2 linked regions of the Astyanax mexicanus genome follow. The protein of the gene in region 2 interacts with the protein of the main gene of each other region in a pairwise test. Links are inferred from orthologs where the notes say so. Each region holds a gene or a part of one and is shown on either strand. Other genes may lie near its edges.

Region 1 (11,700 bases), on a different chromosome or scaffold from region 2:
CCGACAGTAATGAAGCTCTATTCATTTGCGGCGGCGCGGGGGTACACTGCCGGCGAGCGAGGGAGTAAAATAGCCTCGGCGTCGCAGATTAATAGGTGAAATTATCATTCAATTTCAGAAACCTCATACGCAATTCATAGGAACAAGGGGAGATTAAGGAGTGAGCGCGGCGACAAAAGCAATGCATTTTAATAATGATCCCTATCGGCGCCGCTGACAATTGGGTACAGTAATCGGCTTAACATGCGATGGCTATTTAAGCACACAGTCACTGGCTCGCACTGTGTGTGTGTGTGTGTGTGTGTGTGTGTGTAACTGTGTGTACTGGGCATTATGGTTGGCCATCTGGTAGAAAGGATGGTGAAGCAACAGTTGAGCAACAGCACCATGCAGTGGGCAGCGTGACTCACTGCGCAAATGCTGAAAGATGCTCAGCTGGCAGAGTTGATCTGTACTAAAATCAACCCAGCATTTATTTAATTTCCTGCCAAAACTGCCCTTAAGTACACTGGCGTTCCAAACATCACTGGACAGCAGTAAGCAAATGTAAATGATGCACGTGTATGAGCCTCCAGGACTGCAGGGCTTTACCTGCCATCATGGACACCAGACTGGCCTTGTAGACATTGGTGAAGGTGCCCAGCTCTCCTATTGCCAGGATAGTCTTCATGTGGGCATCGCCGCATGCCTCCCGAAACTGACGGATCTCATCATACATGGCTGAGTGGAAGAAGGCAAAAAGAACATAAAAATAAGCTAACTTTTATTCAAATATGCATCAACCCTAAAGAGCATATGGTGATATATGTGTCACAGAGCATTTAAAAGAGATGTTACGTTCCGTACAGGACTCTGAGAATGTATTCATTAATTTGACCTAATTTACAGAATGTAGGATTGCTGGGTTTATTGCTGTAGATAAAACTAATAAACTAATTTTACAAGTTAAAAAGCATTTAACAATACACATTTTAATAAAAGTTTTTTTTGTTTTGTTTATCTAGTTCTGACACTAATCAATAACAACCAATTGCTACAACCAATAGTCATTGTGATTTGTGTTACATCAGGATATTATCCTTAAAATATTGGCAGTAAACAAACACAAATGAACTGCTTACCTCTATTTATCTGATGTCATTTTAAATTTGATATCACTATTCAGAAGTGGTTCTAAGCTCTTACATATAACTGAAACAAGCCTTAAAAAGTCTCTCCAGCACTAAGGCTGGCTGCAGCAGCGTTAGCATTATCCGCTAACCGCAGCACTAGCTTTTTTTATCACCGTTCAGAGGCAAGTATATTTGACAGTAGCCTGCATGTTTACGGTGTTAAAACAAGCTACGTGAGATAAACTGCTAGCGACTAATTCCCTGGGTGTTCCTTAGGCTAGCGTTATCGGCCCGCTAGCATTACAATTAGCAGATAATGCTAATGCTGCTGCACCCAGCCTTAGTGCTGGAGAAACTTTACTGAAAACTCACTCTTTGACAAAAAAGGTAAATCTTAGCTTACTGTAAATAAACAGGAATGCTTTACTCAGCCAAATAAACATTTTTAGGAGAGAAATCTGTGTAGATTAACATTAATTGATAATGTGCCTTATAATCCAGTGCACGGTAGTTCTTAAATGTTTAATCTGTTTAATAATAACTTTTTTATAAACTAGTCAACCTAAAACATATATTGTTTGACTATGCATGTAAAAAAATAGAAAAAACAGAAAAACACACCTGCCCACTGCCCAGTAAGAGCCAACGTGCGATTAATAACAATGTCGATTTCAGTGGCTCCATCCTGTACAGCCATGCGGACCTCCTCCAGACGAGTCTTTAATGGAGTCTGACCGGCAGGGAATCCGGTAGCCACTGCAGTCAGATATGAAATATGAAAATAAAAATCAAGGCTCAATCTGACTAGGAAATATATCAGTGTGTTATATATTTAATGAATAGGAACGTACTGCAATGCTGTGGAAAGCTCACCTGAGGCTACAGGTAGGCTGGAGTTAGCCGCTTTCAAAGACTTTACAGCATCAGCCACGCGAGACGGGTAGACGCACACTGCAGCTGTTGAAATACCTTTTAATGCAAACAAATACACAGATGTTACATCAGGAAAAGCTCAGTGACTTTTATATGTTGATATGAGAACATGTAATGCTTTCGGGCTATTGTCTTACACTGTTATTATAGAATATGACTAAAGAATTGCTCATGATGGTCACTGACAGTGTTTATAAAACACTTACTGAAATAGTTTGTCTCCATCTTGTGGACAACTGTATAGTTGCACAGACAATGTAATAGCTGAACAAATAAAATATACTGCACATTAATGCTACTAAGCAACGACCCAGGAAGTTAATTTTGTATAATGTAGTATAATTATGTTATCAAATTAACATCGACATTACATACAGTATTGTGTATATGTATAACTATGCTATTAATGCTATCATTATATCAATGACATTATTTGGCCTTAAACTTAAACTTATAGGTATTCCACTGATATTATCAATATGTCAGTCAAAAAATTATCCTAAAATTCCAATAAAACTGGTAATCACAAATATTTTTTATAGAATAATACAGGGCCCCTGGGGTGAAGTCACAAAAAAAATAATGCATGGCCACCATTTATTAATGCGTGCAAACAAGGTAATGAAGTCATGAGGATAAATTCATTGGGACGATTTCTTAAAGAGTGGAAACAAGATGTTTAAGTCGTGGGGACAACTTACATGACCAAGACTTAATTATCTTGTTCCCATGCCTTAATAAGTTGTCCCTACTACTTAATTAGCTTGTTCCCAATGCTTTAATAAGTCATGGCCACATTAGGATCTTGTTCCCACACCTTAACTCTTTGAGGCCTGAATAATCTCAAGTGATAGAATGTACATAAAATGTAAAAATGCTGTACTACTGTAGTCTTAGTGCTTTTGCAGTGGGCGGGGCCAAATTACTGTTTCATTGGTTAATAAACTTGTTTATTGGCCGGTTGGTGGTCTATTCTGATGTGCAACAAAACATTTTATAAAAAAGAAAATATGTGATGTCCATTTTTTAACATGATGCTCCTTAGCATAATATGTTACTTAAACAAAAATAGTTTGGGTCACAAGCCTATCAATAGTGTATATAAGCATTATTTTCCTATACATATACTTTAGGAACCTTTATCGTGCATGTCCATGCTTTTCAGCAGGTCTTGGCGGACTGGCTGTACGGCCTTCATACAGAGCCGGTGAACATTGGATGGCGTGTCGTCTCCAGCGAGGGTCGTAAGGTCGATACACGTTACGGCCTTCAGGAGCCAGGCTGCCTGTTAATCGAAACGTTGCAGGTCACAAGTCTTCAGCAGAACAAACTCTTTACTTCAGTAGACACAGAGTTTAGCATTAGCCTTGACCTACCTGCCACTGTTTCTTGGCCACTTTACATCCCTGAACTTGTTGTGCCCTTTTCAGCACAGCCTGGGTATTAACTCTGACCTTTGACACCCACTCGAGGTCTGTTAAAGATAAAAACAATGTACATTAAGTTTTTGAATGGGCTTTTCAAAAACTGGCCTCTATCACATCCTGTGGTAAATGAATATGTTCAGATACCTGTAAGTTTTGTTCCGAATACATTGTACTCCAAAAAAATCACTGGATTCTCTGAATTAAGAGATGGTTTAAGAGTAGTAATTAGAATAATCCAAGTTTTAAGCTAATGCTACAGGGAACTAGCGTCCCAGCGCAGCTGCAGAGATCGGCGGGGGACTCTTTTTGGCGTAACACCAGCGAACTCCAGCCTTATGTTTACAGTTGTTACACAAAGCTGATCCAACTAATGAACTAACTGCCCTCACTGAGGAGAGCTGGGAGTGTTAAAGCAGGAAATCACTAACCCAGCAGCACAGAATTGCCCAGAACCAGCTTTTAACGCTGTAACACGTTTTACTATTCACCGTCTTTATTATGCAGTGAAATAAATTGAAGATGTTTGGTGTTTCTGGCTCGTTGGTTTAGAAAATTAAGCCAAGGTAAGAGTTATCTCTGTAACAGCTGTCCGTGGAAAAAACATACATTAAGCCTTATTTTAGACTCTTGGTTATTCAGTTAGTTAGCTCTGTGGTTTGGTCCTGCTAGTTTTCCTGCTGTATCACTAGGTTCGCCTCAGTGAGGGCACATCGTTAGTTGATTAGTTAGTTGTTAGTTGACGATTTGAATCAGGTGTGTAAATCCCAAAAAACAGTATCTCAGAAAATTAGAATATTATATAAAAACAACAGGTACTTGGACAGTGTGCCAAGTCATAATAAAAAGTTGTCTCCAAAACATCACTGATTGTGGAAATTTTACACTAGACCTCAAGCAGCTTGGACTGTGTGTCTCTCCACTCTTCCTCCAGACTAAAATTTACTGATGCTCAGTGATGGTTTGGAGAGACATGTCATCTACTATTGTTGATCTATTGTTGATCCATGGTGTTATATCAAGACCAAAGTCAGTGCAGTGTTTTCCCAGAAAATCCTACAGCACTTCATGCTTCCCTCTGCTGACAACTTTTATGGAGATGCGGATTTTAAGATAAGGATTTTATTTTCCAGCAGAACTTGGCACACTGCCCATACTGCCAAAAGTACCAATTGGTCTTATAAAATATTCTCATTTTCTGAAATACTTTTTTTGGGGTTTCATTAGCTGTAATCCGTAATCAACAATCAACAACACTAAAAAATAAACGCTTAAAATAGATCACTCTGCGTGTCACATCTATATAAAATATGAGTTTCACATTTTGAACTGAATTACTGAAATAAACTAACTTTCCAATAATATTCGATTTTTTTAAGATGCACTAGTACATTAAAACATGTCATATTAAAAAATATATTTAAAAAAACCCTCAAAACTGTACATCTGCATAGAACCTATGATCGCTAACAGATCGTGTGCATGAGGACTGGGTCATGTGTAACTTATTAAAAGGGGCCTCATGTGAGAGGAGGATGCAGTGAAAATTAAGCTTTCTGTTATCTCTTAAAATTCTGATATCTCGCCAGTTTCACCTTGATTGCCTCATTTGTTGCTTCACACCCACTAAAGATTTTATACCGAAGCGAAATTACAAACAGTGGGGAAACTGTCCGTTCACTTCTCGATATAACAGTACAGCTACAGTCTATGAAGAATCTACTGCTGTTGCTGGTACAGTACAGACACGTGCAGCGCGAGCCCACACTGACCCAGTACTGCAGTAAAGCGCCCAGTGAATCTGAAGCTCTTACCCAGATCCATCCCCGGGTTTCTGGAGGACATGCTGAAGATCAGAATCAGCCCAAACCCAACCAGAGAAGATTAATCCAGCCTCACCTGCAGAAACACCTCAAACAGCTCGAGCTGCTCACACTGCTCTACTTCCTCATCTCTCACCCTATCGTCACCAAACAGCTCTCTGTCTGGACCAATCAGCGTGCAGCTCTGCAGTGGGCGTAAATCACGTGTTCAACAAACAGAAAAACTGAAGGCTGATATTTGTACTGTACTGTTTTTACTGCAACTAATAACCCGTTTAAAAGTTAAACTAATGAACAAATAATAATTTACATAATAATTAACATTTTCCCCATGTAGATACAGTTCTAAACTTTTGTCTCAGCAGTACAAATACTTCTTTACTTTAATAAAATAGCATTTTTTGTTATCTATACTTTAATGGAGTAATTATTATTTTTCAGACGATTTTTCCACTTCTACCCTTTACATATTCCCTTGATTATCTAAACGTATTGCTCCTTACAAAAAAAAAAACATAATTACTATATATATTAATATATTTCATTTCAGTTTGTTTTCATTCCAGGTGTTCGGTCGAGACATGCTACCCATCAATTTGTGCTACTTAGCAGCTCTGCGCATGCGTTACTTCTCTCTTTTTTGTTTACTGTTTTTACGTGTTTTCCTGATATTTTTTTTCTTGGGAGCATCATAGAATCTAAACTCACTGATATTTCTTTGCTTGAGTTAGATATTTTACAACCGTGTAAACAAATAAAATAAAATAATAATACAAATACAAGAAAAAATAACTATAAAACGGCTTCTAATCACCTCTATTCTCTAAATTTTACTCTGATACAGCGATGTAGATTATTCAAATATCTTATCGATACTTTTACAGCGAGCAAATTTACTTTTTTACCTTTAAATACACTAGGGTTGCACGGTTTGGCAAGGTTGCACAACTCGACAGGACACCGGCTTCTCAACGTTCAAAAAAACCCTATCCAGATTAGTGAATCTGATTGTGGTTGGATGTATAGAACTATAAACATATACCCTTTCGTCACCCTATTGGTTTATACGCAATCCATCACACCTGCACATGTAGAAAACACATTATAGAAATAAAGACAAACATTGAATGAAAAAGTGTTGAAACTTTTGGCTGGTACTGTATGTTTGTGTGTATCATCAGTGGCATCGTTTTGCATTGATTCATCTGAACTAATCCATGTCAATAATAGTAACAAATATAATGTGCCTAAAATTATTACACAAAAACATTATGCTAATGTCTTCATTGAGAACAACCATAAAAACTCTTAGTGCACAAGCATGTGAACCCTTCTGTTAATTATTTTAGGGACAGAACCAATAAAAGAATAGACATATGCATTTTAATGCAAGGAATCTTAAGCATACAAATGACATCATTATGCACAACTGTAGTTTTACAACAAATAAAATCTCTTTTTGGGTTTGCTCGGTTGAAACTACAATTCACTGCTGTCCAATAAAAAAACAGGCATATCATTATTTATATTTTTTCCAACATCATTGATCCCTCTAACTGCCCTGAATACTATGTAAATAAATATGTACGAATAGAAATTCTATAAAATTACATGGAAATCCTTTTTTATTTATTTATTTTTTACATTACCTTCTATTCTATGTTAAAACATTTTTTTTATTGAACAGCAAAAAAATGGACTAGGCTACTCACAGATGATACCTGTGTTTTGAACTAGTTACAGACACCCAGGAACTTGAAAAATGTATTGAACAATCCCAATTTCTTTAAACCACCATTTCACCGCTGCTCACTTAATACAACACAGAAAGAAATAAAAAAAAAAATGTATGTAGTCATACACATGCTGCATCACTGTCCTTTGAGCTGCAAAGGTATTGCACGCTGAATGGAAATAAAGACATACAATAAAACATATCTAATGATAAAAGCTCTCTGCTGCATGAATAATCAAGACGATAAGAACCAAACACATTAAATCACTCATTTTAAGCAAAGCAAACCAGCTTCTTCTGTAGCTTACTCTGGTAATCAAAAACAATTAACACCATAATATGAAGATAATGACAAGAAAATCACACATCTGGAAAACAGATTTTTTTTATGAAAGTCTCCTAAAAATTATGTACCAGCCTCAAAGTATGAATTCAATGAACAAAACTATATTTTCTGAAACAGGACACAAAAGGACACATTAAGCACATTACTTACTCTGGGTCAGTGTAACATTTTTCAGTTGAATTGTCTGACCATTATAGGAAATAGAGAGTAAAACCTCTTTCGTATTTAACTCTTACTATTTGCTGTAGTACAGAAGAAATAGGTTTTTATACATTTTTCCAATTTTCTGAAAAAAAAAAGAAAAAAAATCTTGTAACAAAAGTAAGTTGCATTATACCATCACATTTTGTTACAAGATTTCAATTTTAAGTTTTATATCTTAATGTTCTATGTTCAAATGTAGCCTGAAACAGTCAGAAAATTGAAGTGATAAACGTTACACTGACCCACTCTGCCCTGTAGATGGCACCAGTAAACTTAAATTTACCATCATCTCCTCAAGCTTATTGTCCATGCAGGGGTTTCTCAAAGTTCAAACATGGCTGAAACTATTAAAAATAAAATACAAATTCTAGCCGTTAAGTAATATAGCCACAAATCTGTCCAGAAACCAGTAGCTGCTAAAGATATTTTTGATATTGATTTTAAAGAAAATTAGATACACAACTTCTGACAGACATTACGCTTAAGAGGCTTATAGTGAGTGGCATATCATGACACACATAATATTTTTTCTCATAATACTAATACTAAATGACAATAACCCCAAAATATAAGAGCTGTCATTCTGTAGTTCTGGGTAAAAGTAAATTCTGATTTTTGTAGGGTTCTCCTTGTGCTACTTGCTTATTGTGGCTGGTCTTCAGTAATCTGAGGGGCTCCTGGAAAAAGCTTTCTGGCATGGGCTTTTGGAGTACTGCTAGCGAGAGACAGGCGCTCCAGTTGGGAACAACCCAGTGGGGATTCCACTGCAGCCGTCTGAAACGAAAAATAAAAATGTTACTAAGGCAATGCAGCACCACAACCTGACCAACTTGGTCCTGACATCATAATCACATGTTACACAAGCACAAGCAATCCGCAGCCAAACTTATATGGAAGTCAATGAAAAAAAGACTTTATTCCAATTAACTTTGGAGCATTTCAATTGGTCCATCTGTCAAAAAATTGTAACACAATGTAAAGCACCACTGGACTGCTGGATTATATCAAAAAAGTAGATAGAACATTTTGTATGACATTGATGGCATACAATACATGTTTGAAGGTTTGAGGGCATTTTTCCAATTCAAACTTCACCCATTAGGGACAAAGATGTGTAAATATATGTAAACAAGTAGTCTAATTCCTATCGAGAAGTACTGCCAATAGAATAAGGCTCTCTGGCGTACATAAGCATGAACCTACCGGCACCATACTTAACCTTAGGAATAAAATAGAGGGACATTGAATGGTTTATTGGTGCACATTTTGGTGCGTTTAGGTTAATGCCTGTGTGAAACAAGTCCAAACAAAGGGAGAAAACGCTCCAAGTAAATGAACTCATCATCGATTCGGACCAGAGAAACAAACTAAAGGTGTGAAAACGCCCTAAGAGAATTAGAAACACTAACACAACAAAAATCAAGCTGCACGTTTGAAAGCACGCCTATAGACTGATAAAATAGCGCCCTATATTTGCCTATATTTATAGTCAGGGTTCCATATAGTGTAAAGTGTAGCTTCAGGTATTTATTTGCAACCCCTCTTACCTTTTGTTGTTTGGTTGGTGTATCGCAGTTGTCAGACTTGTTATGACGCTTGGACACACTTGGACTTCCTGACTGGAAGGTGTTGTTTCCATAAATCATATCTTCCGCAGTATTGTGGGTGCATACTTGCTCTGCATACTTGCTCTTTGTGCTACAAAAAGCCTGGGACGGTCCTGGTGAAGACCATAGAGTGGACTGACCTGGGAGAATGCTGGAGCCTCGCTTTGGAGTTCCCAGATAAGACTGGCTAGTCTGAGTGTACAAATCGTCCCGTGTCTGCTTTAGCTTGCCGATCATATCTGTGAGAAGGCCAGCTAGTCTAGTGCTGCGTTTGATGACGTGTCCACGAATGGCGCGCTCTAGGCCACCGATCTTCGCAACAACATACACACGCTGCTGACCACGTGTGACTGCTGTGTAGACGTGTTTCCAGGTTTGACAAATGCCATTCCCAACTACATACACAACAGTCTTCTCCTCTGAGCCCTGATAAAGAAAGACAAAAGCAGGTTTAACATATCATATATTAACATATCACATGTTACCCCTATGATTTATTAATACTGTTGTAGCTACAAGGCTCACTTAAAATGCTTTAATTTTCCCATAATGTCATCTAATGTGCATCTTATAATTCAGTGCGTCTTATGTATGTATTCTACCAGTCAGGTTGTAAGGAGCAGTAAAGCCACTCCAAGCCACTACACAGGATTTTCTGTTTAGTTCTCCAGCAGTATTAGCATTAGCCGCTAAGCACTAGCCACTCGGCCATTCAGAGGTAAGTATTATCAGACCGTAGTCTGCAGCTAACCTCAGCTAGCACTGCTGGAGCATCATTAGCATTACCCACTAACTAGCCATTTGGCCATTCAGAGGTGTGTAGTATCGGACTGTAGTCTACGAGGATACCGTGTTAAAACAAGCTATGTTGGACAAACCACTAGCTAATATCGCCCTTGTTAACCGGAAAACTCAGGGTTCCTCAGTGTAGCGCTGTCGGGCAGCAGTTAATGCTAATGCTGCAGCCTTAGTGGAAATCTAAGTTTACTGTAAATAAACGGAAGGGAAGGAAGTGCTTTACTCACCCAAATGAACAGGGGAGAAATCTGTGAAGATTACGATCATAAATGTTTTTTTGTTTTAAGAATTACAGTTTTGGTTACTTAGCTTAACTTAGCTTAGCTTTACAGGTCTTGCCCCCCAGCTTAGAGACTTGCTGAATTAGAAGGGAAACATGGCAAAACCCCTGTTCCAAACAAGTGTTGCCTAATGCGCCTTGTGTATGAAAATAGACCAGAAAATAGACGTTTATTGATAGTGCACCTAATAATCCAGTGCGCCTCATAAAAATACAGTGCCATATATACAGTACTGTGAAAAAAGACTTTAAGTACATGCACTTAAAGCAATAGTTGCAAAAACAGGTGCACCCAGAAGAAAGTGTCTGACTGTGAACCCATTAAAACGGTAGATAAAGGTTACCATGATTTTTAAAAATTTACTGTTATGGGCAACGTTTATGCCAAACATCTCAGCATCGCCATTCTGCATCACTCCATGAGAGCCTAGTCCTGTCAGTTGATTCCTTTTGGGTGCAACTATATTTTGACAATGTGTTCACGTGTAAATATTGTATTACTTAAGAAGGAGGTGCATAAAAGCAAAGAAGGACACAAGATGTCGACCTGAAAAGTGTGGATGGTTCGGGCCCAGGCGTGGCGTAATTTGCACTCTCTCTGCAGCTCCCTGTAGTCAGCTTTCAGCACCACTTCACCAGTCTCATCAGCCAGCAGCAGTTGCCGTCTCTTACTGCCCCGTTTACCAGCGTCCTCTACAGTGCGATCCTGCCATTAACAACACACAGACAAATCCTGAACCAATCTGCAAGATCCAAACATGAACTAAAGATGTTAAACTTTTGTCTTCAAACATTGTGTTAATATTTTAAGTTACTGAAAATACTGAAGGCTAGTAAAATAAATGCAATTGTGTATGTTTTTTCGTACCTCTTTAATAAAGAAAATTTGCCCATTGCACAATCGTGTTTTTGCCTGCTTATTCTTTTGCGTTTCCGTAGTATCTTTCACTTGCTCATTCTCTTGTGTTTGCGCAGTATCTTTCGCTTGCTCTTTCTTTTGCATTTCTTTGGTATCTTTCTCCATGTCTTTGATCTCTTTTTCTTTATCTATATCTGTCACATAGCCATTCTTTGTGCAACAAACTTTATCACCAACCTGAAAGTTTAGTTTTTTTTTGCAATCTCTGAAAGAAAAAACAAGCAAGTTAATAAACAAACGAATAAGAGAATTGATTCAAATCTAATTTACATCACCAATTTGAACAATAATGGACAAAAATAACAAATAACAACTTAATGTTAAATTAACTTACTTTGTAGTATGATCTGAATAATGCTTGCAGCAAAGCTCATTGATCAAATCACAATCTCTCCTGTTTAAAAAAATAAAAAATAAAAATCATATCTGTTACAGCATGTGCTGAATGTTTGAAATGGCTAATTCAGATCAACAGTTTTTTCTTTAAGTCTTTAAGTCTATCTGATTTTTTCCCTTTGG
Region 2 (11,608 bases):
ACACCTCTCCATCCTGAAAGAGTGAAGAACAGCATTATCAAAGCTTTTCATGTAGAGGTGGGCAACATGGTATTTTATAGCTTAATTAATCCAGTTTAATTAAATGAATTGCAGTATATTGTTCACTACTATCACGAAAAATATGATGTATTGTGGAATTTTATAGTGATTTATTTATATAAGAATGTAAAGCTAATGAAAACTTACGGACAATAACATCATTGCAATGTCCATCATTCTCCCCATATAACTTCATTTCTCTTACACACACACACCTACCTGCTGGCTCCCGCTGTAGGTCAGGTAGCTTATCTGGTTGTTCTGAGCGACTTTGGCTCCCACCGAGCCGTCACCCGTCACCACACTAAGCGCTCCAGCAGGAAGTCCCGCCTCCATAAACAGCTGAGCCAATAAGAGTGCAGGAGGTGCCAGTTTTGCACCAGGAACCACAATTACAGCATTGCCTGCAGAACGGTTACAGTAGTCAGTATAATGTATATAATACACTATAGATCAAATATAGTATATTTGTATATTTTAGGGTTCAAATGAAAAAAAACTCACCCATAGCCAGAGCTGGAAAGACCTTAATCCATATAGAGTAGAAAGAGCAGTCCTCAGAAACAACCACTGCAATCACACCTACAGCACACAAGTTCAAAAGGTAGATTACTTTTTATTTATGCTGAAAAAGCATGGATTAAATCTCATAATTAAAACTTACTAATTTTTTTCTTCTTCTTCCCTCTCTCGCTTTCTCTCTCAGTATGTGCAGCATGGCACGAAAGCCCTATAATTTAATATAGCTTGCATATTGTGTGGCTCTTGTCAACATCCTTATTTAATGATGTCAAAAACACATTACTCTAATCTGACCTTTTTTTTCAGTAAAACGTAATCTAATGCATTACTATTTCCAATCCAGTAATCAGATTAAAGTTACTTATCCACTTTACTGTGCGTTACTATTTTTGTCATTTTCTTTAGTAAAAACAAATTGTAGCATCTGGCTGAACGCGCTGAAACGAAGAAGGAGAAAGACGTTTACAGTCGTCGTTTTTTTTTATTAGAACTTCCAATGGTTACTGTCAGTTGCGGTCACTCGAGCTGAACACACACACACACACACAGCAGATGTTTGTTCAGGCGCTACACTTCCATGAAAATCAATTTTTGTCATTTGTGAATCGATCCAGAATCGCCCATGCCCAAATTGAGTATATGAATTGAATTTCCCCCGCCCCTGTTGTCCTTCCTCCAGAAATTTGGAAAAGGATAAAAACACACTTATAAACATAAACACACTATTTTTAATGATTCAAAGGAAAATTTTGTATTGAACTAGGCTTAAACCCAGTTGTGTACAAACACATACACACACACACACAGGGTACACACACACACTCTCTCACACACTTACACACCTCGTGGGGTCCACTCAGGCATGAGTGTGTCTCGTAGTTGAGCCCAGCCAGCATAGTACTGGGCCAGTCTGACCAGAGCCGAGGGGGGGCAGGGAGACTGGCACAGATCACACAGTTCACTCACACACTGAGTGTATCTCTGCAGAGTGCTCGCCAACCTGCATCACACAATAAAATCTTTAACACATTTAACCATAGTATACCGGCATGCCAATAGTCATGGGACAGGACAGTGCATTATGTCCTATAGAGGCTAAAGAATGCTGCACTGACCTGAGCAGGACTTTAGCTCTACGATGGCCACTCAGTTCACCCCAGGCTTTAAAACCTGCAGCTGCAGAGGAAGCACAAGATGAGATATCTTCATCTTCAGCACAGACCAGACTGCAGACAGTTCCACCTGGAAAGGGGAAAAAAACTAATCAGGCAGTGTTAGTTTTCATGTTGCATGCGCTTAATGTGAAAATTTTAAGACATTTTTTCATTTTCATGAAATTAGACTCCAATGTCCTCCTATAACTATGTTTAATGCAATAGCAGTTTAATTTACTGATGTATGTTTTTTTTTTTACCGTATTACCGACTATAAGGTGTACTTTTGCTAAAATACAGCATTATAAGGGAGTTTCAGTGAAGTTTCTTTAGCGCTGAGGCTGAAAGCAGCAGCATTAGCTTTAGCTGCTAACCGCATCGCTAGGCATTTCACTGTTCAGAGGTGGGTATATCAGACTGTAATCAGCACGTTTACTGTGATAAAACAAGCTACATCGGACAAACCGCTGGCTAGCGATAACCACCGCTGTCTAGCACTGCTAACCGGGGCTGGCTATCGCTGCTAACTGCGACTAGTGCTCACCCATGTACAAAATACTGGAATTTTAAGCTTACTGTAAAACGGAAGTGCTTTACTCATCCAAATAAACAGTTTTCGTGAGAGAAATCTGTGTAGTTTAATATCCAGCACTCGTTTGACTTTAAAATAAATGATTTTTTTTTTTAAATTACAGTTGTGTTTACTAAGATGTCCCCCCCCAGTGGCAAGACCTGCTGAATTAGACACATGGCGACACCCTTGTTCACTTCAAGTATGCATTCTTACTAGTGTAGAGAGAAACCATTTAAATAACAACATTAATAAATGACAACATTAAAATAAAAAAAGTTTACCCACCTTTGGAATCAGTCACAGCATGTGTCCGTCTGCCGACCGGACACACAAACTTCCCATTGGTGAAGAGACCCAGAGACTGAGAATGCTGCTCGAGCCAAGCCTGAGAGCACACACACACAAACACACACTGTCAGACTGATACTCTTAATACAGTTACTGCAATTACTCTCTCCAATCTCTGGCCATCATCTATTAGCCTAAATCATTATTGATCCACTACTGGCCTCACCCAATAACCTGTGCTTCCACTCATGTTTATATACCAATCACACAGCATATCTCATTATCAATTACTACCAAGTACTTGTAGTACTCCACTATCAATCTCATACTGTACTCCATTTTCAATGACTAATTACATAGTACACATTATTAATAATTTCTAATCTCTTAGTACACCTCATTACCAATTATTAATCTCATTGTATACCTTATTATTAATGACTTCTTTTATAGTTATCTCATGATTAACAAATAATATCATAGTATACATCCTTATCCTTGATCAAATATTGTAGTATAGCTGGTCATCAATGACTCATCTCTTGCTGAATCCCATTATCAATATCAAGTTTCACAGTTTACCTCCTTTTCAGTGACTAATTTTGTAGTATACCTCTTTACCAATGATAATGTAATGTTTTACACCTCAACATTAATACAAATTTTTAGTAAAACCTTTTTAAACGAGAGACAGTCAGATCTATGGGGTTCCACTAGGAAATGCAGCATTTTTACTATATATGAAATAGTCTTACAGGTTATGTAAAATATTTTATATAACAAATGGATTGTTATTTATATGGTAATATTGCATATATAACCCAAACGAAAGACTATTCTCTTAAGATCATATAATTGTTTTAATCACTACAGGGCACGTTATTTTATGGTTTTATAGTTTATGTTTATGGTTTAATTATTGGTTCTGTTCATGGCTCTTTCCATAATCCACAGGTTTGTGGATGGCACCACACTGATAGATCTGATCAAAAGTGACAATGAAGAAGGGCATACAGGGACAAGCTGTGAGAACATTTATCGTATTTTACGCACTATAAGGTAACTATAAGGCACTTAAAATCCTTAAATTTTCCCAAAAATCGTCATTGTGCCTTATAATCCGGTGCACCTTACGTATGGCTCAGGAACAGCTTTTTTCCTATTAATTAATCATTGTGGGTTTTTCTTTCTTTAATAGAAGGGTACCAACAATTTATTTTGAGTAGCCACGTATACAACCTATAGCTTCATTTCCTATAGCGTAAATGAATACTAAAGTCATCCAGACTATGAAGGAACACATAAGGAATTGTGTAGTAAATTTGATAAGTGTTAAATAAACCAAAATAATCTGTGAAGTATTTAGGTGCTCTTATCTGGGGTGCTGTTGTGGTTGTGGTTTTTGAGGCTGGAAACTTAGATACTCTTATCCTGTGCAAAAGTGGAAACTCTTGATTTTCCTTTTCTGGTGGTGTTCCTGATGAGAGCCAGTTTTATCATTTTATCAAAGTTTTTGATAGTCTTTTTACCCCTGCACCTGAGGATACTTTTAAAGTTCTTGATTTTTTTTTGTTTGATTAACTGACAGTCATTTCTTTCTTTACTTACACAGAATTACATGAAATATTTGTATATTTGTCTGTAGACTGTCTGTCTGAACTTTACACCATTCCACTTCAGTAGCTACTGTTTAAACAGTGTTATTTATTAACCCACCCGTATTCAGACAGACCACGCCCCCTTTGCTTGGATTTGTTACTAGTCGCCGGCCTCCTGCTGCAGGATTGGCTAGTAGTCATGGCTCTGGTAAACACCTCAATGGCTCCGCGCCGGAGAATATGAACAATTAGCCAATCACAGGGCAGAGGGTCAGGCGGGGGCGGGACGTGCATGAAAACGGGCGGGAAAAGAAACCAAGCGTAGCCACATTCACTGGTAGGGTCACATGCTTTCTCTTGTGAGGTAAATTAATTAGCTAATAAAGTCACCTGCAGGCCATTACTGACTCTAGTGGAGACTAAACACAGTGGAATAACACAGAGAAACAGCTGTAGTTAATAACTGTGTATACATGTATTAAATATGAACTTTTCTGATAGGAGAGTTAGTTATCTTACCCGGGCAGCAGCAGCAGTGCTGGAACTGGGCGCTCCGGAATCCATAGACTGAAAAATGTCGTACACAGTGTTCGAGGTGCTACTTGCCATAACACGAGTTTAGGTAAGCCAGAGTTATTCAGCTCAACCCGCAGTTAAACGTCCTATATAAGATCCTCTCTGGGCTAAACTGGTTTACTTTGCTAGGTTAAGCTACCTGGCAGCTGTGAAGGCTGTGAAAATGCTTTCAGTTATAAGAGAGAATTGAAAATATCCCCCTGATAAAGGTAGTTAAACTAATAAGCTAAATAGGTAGCGTTAGCTAATTAGTGAAAAACCAGCAGCTTCAGAAAGAAAGTTGAAGAAAGTAGCTGGTCTTCAGTGTTGAGCAGCATGCAGTCCTCTCTGCTGTCATTCATAAACTCCTCCCTCACAGCTTCTTCTCCCTCTTACTGGGGTTTAATCTCAGACTGAGCTCCACATTACTGCCACCTACATACATACACACACACACACACACACACACACACACACACACACACACACACACACACACACACACAAAACATACCAGCAGAGCTACCATTAACTACTGTTTTAATAAAAGGAGAGATCTTGAATTTGATTGTGGGAAAAAAATGGAAATTATTAAAATTCGAATAAATAATGTTGCTTTTCCTATCTAAACTAAAGTTAAAGAAATTCATTATAAAATTGTAAATGACATTTTTCCATGCATTGATTTCAAAGCCATAAATTCACAGGTTGACGTATGCTTTTCTTAGCTACTGCAGACAATGGAGGTTAAGAAACAGTTTAATGTGCAGCATGCATATACAACTCAGATAGACCTATTGTATTTCACAATAGAAGCAAACCTTTATCAACTACTATTTTGGCTAAATGTTATATACATAAATCATCAATTTAAATTGTTTAGCATTTAAGAATGATTTGGCTCTGTACTACACATGAGCGGTAAGAATGCTTTTAAACTGTGCTCATTACTTGAGGTATATTTGAAATGTTGATCTCTTGCATGTGCTTTTATTTGTATTTTAAATTTTCGTAATGTATTTCATTCTATGTCTGGTGTTTTTTGTTATTATCCACTTGGCTGTTTTATTGCAATAACTGTAGTAGTGATACAGCTGCTCACTATTACTCAAATTAAAAATAATTAAAAAAAATAATTAAATACATTTGAAGTTATAGAAGCATCCACATTGATGAACAGAAACAGAAAGGAAACAAAATCTTAAAAGCAAGTAAATAAAAGCCAGAGTCACAATAAGTGTCACAATAATGCCAAAAATACTTCCCAATCATCTCAGCCTTTGAAAACATTGAAAATATAAGAGTGACCCACCACAGCAATTTTTGATTATTACATATTTAGCACTTAAAGTAATAATAAAGCTATTGGTTTTCATTAAAGAGCAGACACAGCTTTTTGGGCAACTTTATGGGTGAATATTTTTATCATCTTGAGGTTTGAGTGACACAAACATTACATTACCCTTACATACATCCACCTTAATCTGTGTTGTCCAAAAAGGCATAGCTCCTCTTAAATAAAAACGAATACCTCGAATTTCTCCATTAAAACACGTTTTAAACGGTACTCTGATCTCTGAGCTTTGCCTTTTGAGACTGAGTTTTAAATAAGGATAATAGTGAACGGCGTACTGGTGCCATCTAAAGGCCAGAGCGGATAATGCAGTAGGCCAAAAACACGAGATGTAAAAAAAATCGAATTCATTATCTAGGCTAATGATTTAATTATTTTTTTCCTAGATAAATTTGATAAAATTTCCCCTTCCACAAAAGCTTAAGTCGACTCATGTAGGATTTTTTCATGGGCTCCACTAGGCAAAGAACTTCATTTTAAAAATCTTTATTTCTTAATAGATGAGCGAAACATGGGCACAATCTAGCTTCTAAATCAAAGCTCATTATTTTTGTTCTATCAATTAACACAACAAAAATAATGAGCCTCTTCTTTATATATGTAGCGCTCTATAATGTTTTGTGATAAAGTGCTGCTGTACTAATATACAGCTCTGAAAAAAATAAAGAGACTACTTCAGTTTCTGAATGAGTTTCTCAGATTTTGCTGTTTATAGGTAAGTTTGAGTAAAATTAACATTAATGTTTTATTCTATAAACTACGGACAACATTTCTCCCAAATTCTAAATAAAAATATTGTCATTTAGAGCATTTATTTGCGGAAAATGAGAAATGGTTGAAATAATAAAAAAGGTGCAGAGCTTTCAGACCTCAAATAAAGCAAAGAAAACAAGTTCATATTCATAAAGTTTTAAGAGTTCAGAAATCAATATTTGGTTAATTTAACCCTGGTTTTTAATCACAGTTTTAATGCATGTTCTACTCCACCAGTCTTACACATTGATTTTGGATAACTTTATGCCACTTCTGGTGCAAACATTCAAGCAGTTCAGCTTGGTTTGATGGTTTGTGATCATCCATCTTTCTCTTGATTATATTCCAGAGGTTTTCAGTTTGGTAAAATCAAAGAAAAGAAAATACATTTTTAAGTGGTCTTTTATTTTTTTCCAGAGCTGTATACTTGTATACTTGTTTATGGTTTAGGGATGAATAAAGTTCACAAATCTGTTTTTCAATTTTTAAAGTCAACTAGTTTGTACATGTAGGTTTATTAATTTTATTATTGACTTTATTGAAAACATATGTATTATTATTATTATTATTATTATTATTATTATTATTATTATTATTATTATTATTATTATCGTTATTATTATTATTATTATTATTATTATTATTATTATTATTATTATTATTATTATTATTATTATAGTTATTCTGAAATCGTCCTTCACACTCCAGATCCAGTAGGTGGTGGTAATGTTACGTTCGTTGATCTGTCAACCGCCTAAACTCCAAAAGCAGAAGAAGAAGCTGCACTCATTTCCTGAGTGTGAGTCCTGGAAGAGAACTTGTTGAAGTTCGATGGAGGTTTAGGATTTACCACCTGAACAGCGGAACACCTGAACAGAGATATAAACAGGCGGGTAAAGAGCGCAGTAAACAGAGTCTCATTTACCATGGCGTGTGAAGAAACCCCAGGTAAGCTCGTTTTAATCTATATTTTAACTCTGAGTGATCTGAATATGAATATGATTAGTTTTATTTTGTTCAATTTAAGTTATTTCTTCTCTTCCAGATGATCAGATTGGAGAGGCACTCTTAATTGGGTGAGTTAACTAGGTTACTTACTGTGTTTTTTTGTAATTTAGTTAATTATTGTCTGGTCTGTTATATGTTTTTACTGTTGTTAAGTATCATTAGATTAAAGGTAGATTAAACTACATGCTACATGCTGAAGTTAGATGTTAGATGTTATTTGAGAACTAGGCTACAGTCAAGGGCAGATTCAAGAAAAGGCCAAGTCATTGTCAAATCTTCATCCAGTCGGAAGTGAAAGTAGAATTGGTTTCAGTTTCTAAATCACACTATATTGCTGTTCTAATGATTAAGATCCGGTGATTAAACATCAGCAACAGGTAAATAAAGTCTCATGGTGCCACAAAGCAGATTCCTGTAAATCCAGAAATGAAAAAATAAACATAAACAAAAGAGATTTAAGAAAAGGCATATAGTTAAAACCCACACAAAGCTGAGGAGAAAACAAGACTAACAGGCCTTGTGACTCATTATCTCAAAAACACTCACCCGTGTTTAATAGTGGATAATTGGTTATGTAGTGGAAGATTAGTGTATTTGTGATGGGAGAGTTAAGTCGTGTTTGTTTGTTTGTTTTAAATGTTGCTGATTGGATAATAAATGGCTTTGGCATCCTAGCTGTTAGTTGTCAGATCAGACATTGATATTTAATTTGAATTTGTGAAGCGTAAGAAATGCCAGAAATGTTGAGTATGTAACTAGTCTGAGGCGGGTATTAGAACGCCCAAACAGTTTCCAGCAGAACGGCCCATTGGATTGAAAAAAGTGCAGCTACCGACTTAGATCTGACTCTTTACAGCCTAATTAAACGGAGAGAGCCAGAAGGTAGCACAGACATGAGCGGACCCTGCAACATTGGTATTTACAGTCATATGAAAAAGTGGCAGGCCAAGAAAAATATCAGAAAGGCAAAAGCACACCTCAGGCGACTCTGTTTGGTGCTTGCAGAAATGGCTTCTTTCGCATCACTCTCCCATACAGCTTCTCCTTGTGCAAAGTGCGCTGTATTGTTGACCGATGCACAGTGACACCATCTGCAGCAAGATGATGCTGCAGCTCTTTGGAGGTGTTCTGTGGATTGTCCTTGACTGTTCTCACCATTCTTCTTCTCTGCCTTTCTGATATTTTTCTTGGCCTGCCACTTCTGGGCTTATCAAGAACTGTCCCTGTGGTCTTCCATTTCCTTACTATGTTCCTCACAGTGGAAACTGACAGGTTAAATCTCTGAGACAACTTTTTGTATCCTTCCCCTGAACAACTATGTTGAACAATCTTTGTTTTTAGATGATTTGAGAGTTGTTTTGATGAGCCCATGATGCCACTCTTCAGAGGAGATTCAAATAGGAGAACAACTTGCAGTTGGCCACCTTAAATACCCTTTCTCATGATTGGATACACCTGGCTATAGAATTCAAAGATAAATGAGGTTACCAAACCAATTTTAAGTCAGTAAAAAGTAGTTAGGAGTATTCAAATCAATAAAATGATAAGGGTGCCCATACTTTTGCACCGGTCAAATTTTGGTTTAATGCATATTGCACATTTTCTGTTAGTACAATAAACCTCATTTCAATCCTGAAATATTACTGTGTCCATCAGTTATTAGATATATCAAACTGAAATGGCTGTTGCAAACACCCAAATATTTAGAACTAAAAATTATTAATATTAATAGGGGTGCCCAAACTTTTTCATATGACTGTATAAAGTCCACCAATTACAAAATTAATCAATGCAGCCAGAAAAGCATTCAGAAATTAGTCATTATTAAACACACTTATTCTCAAGCTTTTAAATGGATATATAAATGTAAATAAAGGAATATATGTTAGGTTGGCAAAGCCATTTCTCATTTTCTACAAATAAATGCTCTAAATGACAATATTTTTATTTGAAATTGGGAAGAAATGTTGTCCGTAGTTTATGTAATAAAACAACAATGTTCACTTTACTCAAACATAAACCTATAAATATAAATAGCAACATCATTTAAACATATTTAAATCCCACTTTTATATATACACACACAATGGAGTAAGTGCCACTGAATTAATATGATCTATAAATGTAATACATTTTACCCATGTCTATATGTTTCTTAACAATATAGTTGGGGTGTGCCATATTGTTACAGATGCAACAATACCTCGAAAACCTTTTAATATCCTGAACGATATTATATCCTGAAACATTGTGCCATATATCCCACCCCTAATTATCACATCAGGGCACCACTGTTTTTTGCTTTTAGAGACACATTATATCTCTATTATCATTAATTTTACTTTAATCCTGGATATATGGTGATATTTGGAGTGCATTATTAGTATCATGACATTCTGAATCATTGACCTCTGTTACTAATCTGATTATTTTCCATAATCAGTGTTTTCTCATATCCTGAAAATAACATGAAATATTTTGGTTTATAGTTGTAGGGCCATATCGCCCACCCCTGCAATATAGTACAGTGGGTTAACTTACATTCTGTCTGTTTTTCAGTGTGATAGAGGATCAGGTGAAGAGTGTAAACGCAGCAGGAGACACTTCTTCTCTGGGTATTCCAAAACCAAAGCCGCTATCCCATGCTCAGAATCAGATGCTTTTGAACCAGCTGGCAGACACCATACGAGTAATTGGGGACAGACTGGATATGGATACTGGATTTAATGAGTAAGTTTAATGATGTTTTTCCAGAGCTCTGCTCATGGGAGTGTAGTATTATTTAAAGATCTCACACAGCACTTGGTTTGGTTAACAGTTAACGATATTAATCAATTAAAGCACATCCACATGCTGGCTGGTGGTGTCCAAAAGAAATCTGGATTCAAGTTTTTTTTAAGGTAGCTCACAAAACGCACTAATGCATTCAGCTGCTTTAAGTTTCACCCATTGCTAATGTGCAAAGGACCATCCACAGCTTGTCTATATTTTAGAGTTCTTGAAGTGCCAATAGAATAGAACTCTTTGGAGCCGATAATCATGAAGCATGAACATATTTACCTCAGCATTGCTCTTGTCAGTCTGCACAGTAGAGACAGGTACTCCAACAAAAGCAGAATAAACTTTTTTTTAAACTTGTCATTTTAGTCCCAACACTTTTGTCCATATAGCGTATATGCTAGATTCTTCAAAAGATCTTGTTTCCTTTTACTGTACTTTACACATAATGTTTACCAGCATTTGTTCTAATGTGACCTGAATTTCTTAAAGTATAAACTCTCCTATCTTGTCTCTGTATTTTATCTTCTTCTACCATCTGTCCTCCTCTCTCAGCATGATTGACGGATTAGGACGTGTGGCAAATAAAAACAGTTTCTGGAAGCTTGTGGAGGGAGTCTTCAGTGATGGCCAGATCAACTGGGGAAGAATTATTGTCCTGTTCTACTCTGTTGGAAAACTGGCTGCAAAGGTCCTGCTGGTTTTGATTAGAGTTAAACTCACCTGTTCTTTATAGGCTTCTGTTTCATACCTTTTGATGATTTTTATTTTTTTGTTTTCTTCTCCAGATGGTACTCGCTCATTTGCCTGAAGTATTCTCAGAAATTCTGAATTTAAGTCTGGACTACTTCAGGAGAACGCTATTACAGTGGATTCGCAACATGGGAGGATGGGTAAGAAGCACCTACAAATGTACAGAACTCACAAATTGGAGATACTCACATGAAAGACTTCCTATACTATG

Evidence for each region.
Region 1: the proteins of aldh16a1 (region 2) and dera interact in binary tests that used the Homo sapiens proteins (3 or more experiments, as listed by UniProt). The link is inferred for Astyanax mexicanus from reciprocal best matches to the Homo sapiens genes ALDH16A1 and DERA.

Annotation. Positions count from the first base shown.
Region 1 is NC_064409.1:10,718,770-10,730,469, forward strand, and holds the start of dera (deoxyribose-phosphate aldolase), read right to left. Parts: upstream 5,442-11,700; 5' UTR 5,315-5,441; coding exon 5,284-5,314; intron 3,520-5,283; coding exon 3,422-3,519; intron 3,331-3,421; coding exon 3,183-3,330; intron 2,082-3,182; coding exon 1,986-2,081; intron 1,869-1,985; coding exon 1,734-1,868; intron 721-1,733; coding exon 592-720; intron 1-591. Other genes in the region: helb (DNA helicase B), read right to left, coding at 8,220-8,351, 9,125-9,610, 10,810-10,968, 11,131-11,386, 11,516-11,575. UniProt on the Homo sapiens protein: Catalyzes a reversible aldol reaction between acetaldehyde and D-glyceraldehyde 3-phosphate to generate 2-deoxy-D-ribose 5-phosphate. Participates in stress granule (SG) assembly.
Region 2 is NC_064426.1:20,716,635-20,728,242, forward strand, and holds the start of aldh16a1 (aldehyde dehydrogenase family 16 member A1), read right to left. Parts: upstream 5,146-11,608; 5' UTR 4,806-5,145; coding exon 4,716-4,805; intron 2,696-4,715; coding exon 2,596-2,695; intron 1,825-2,595; coding exon 1,698-1,824; intron 1,583-1,697; coding exon 1,425-1,582; intron 643-1,424; coding exon 565-642; intron 465-564; coding exon 280-464; intron 14-279; coding exon 1-13. Other genes in the region: apoptosis regulator BAX, read left to right, coding at 7,785-7,806, 7,886-7,934, 10,426-10,596, 11,200-11,335, 11,433-11,537.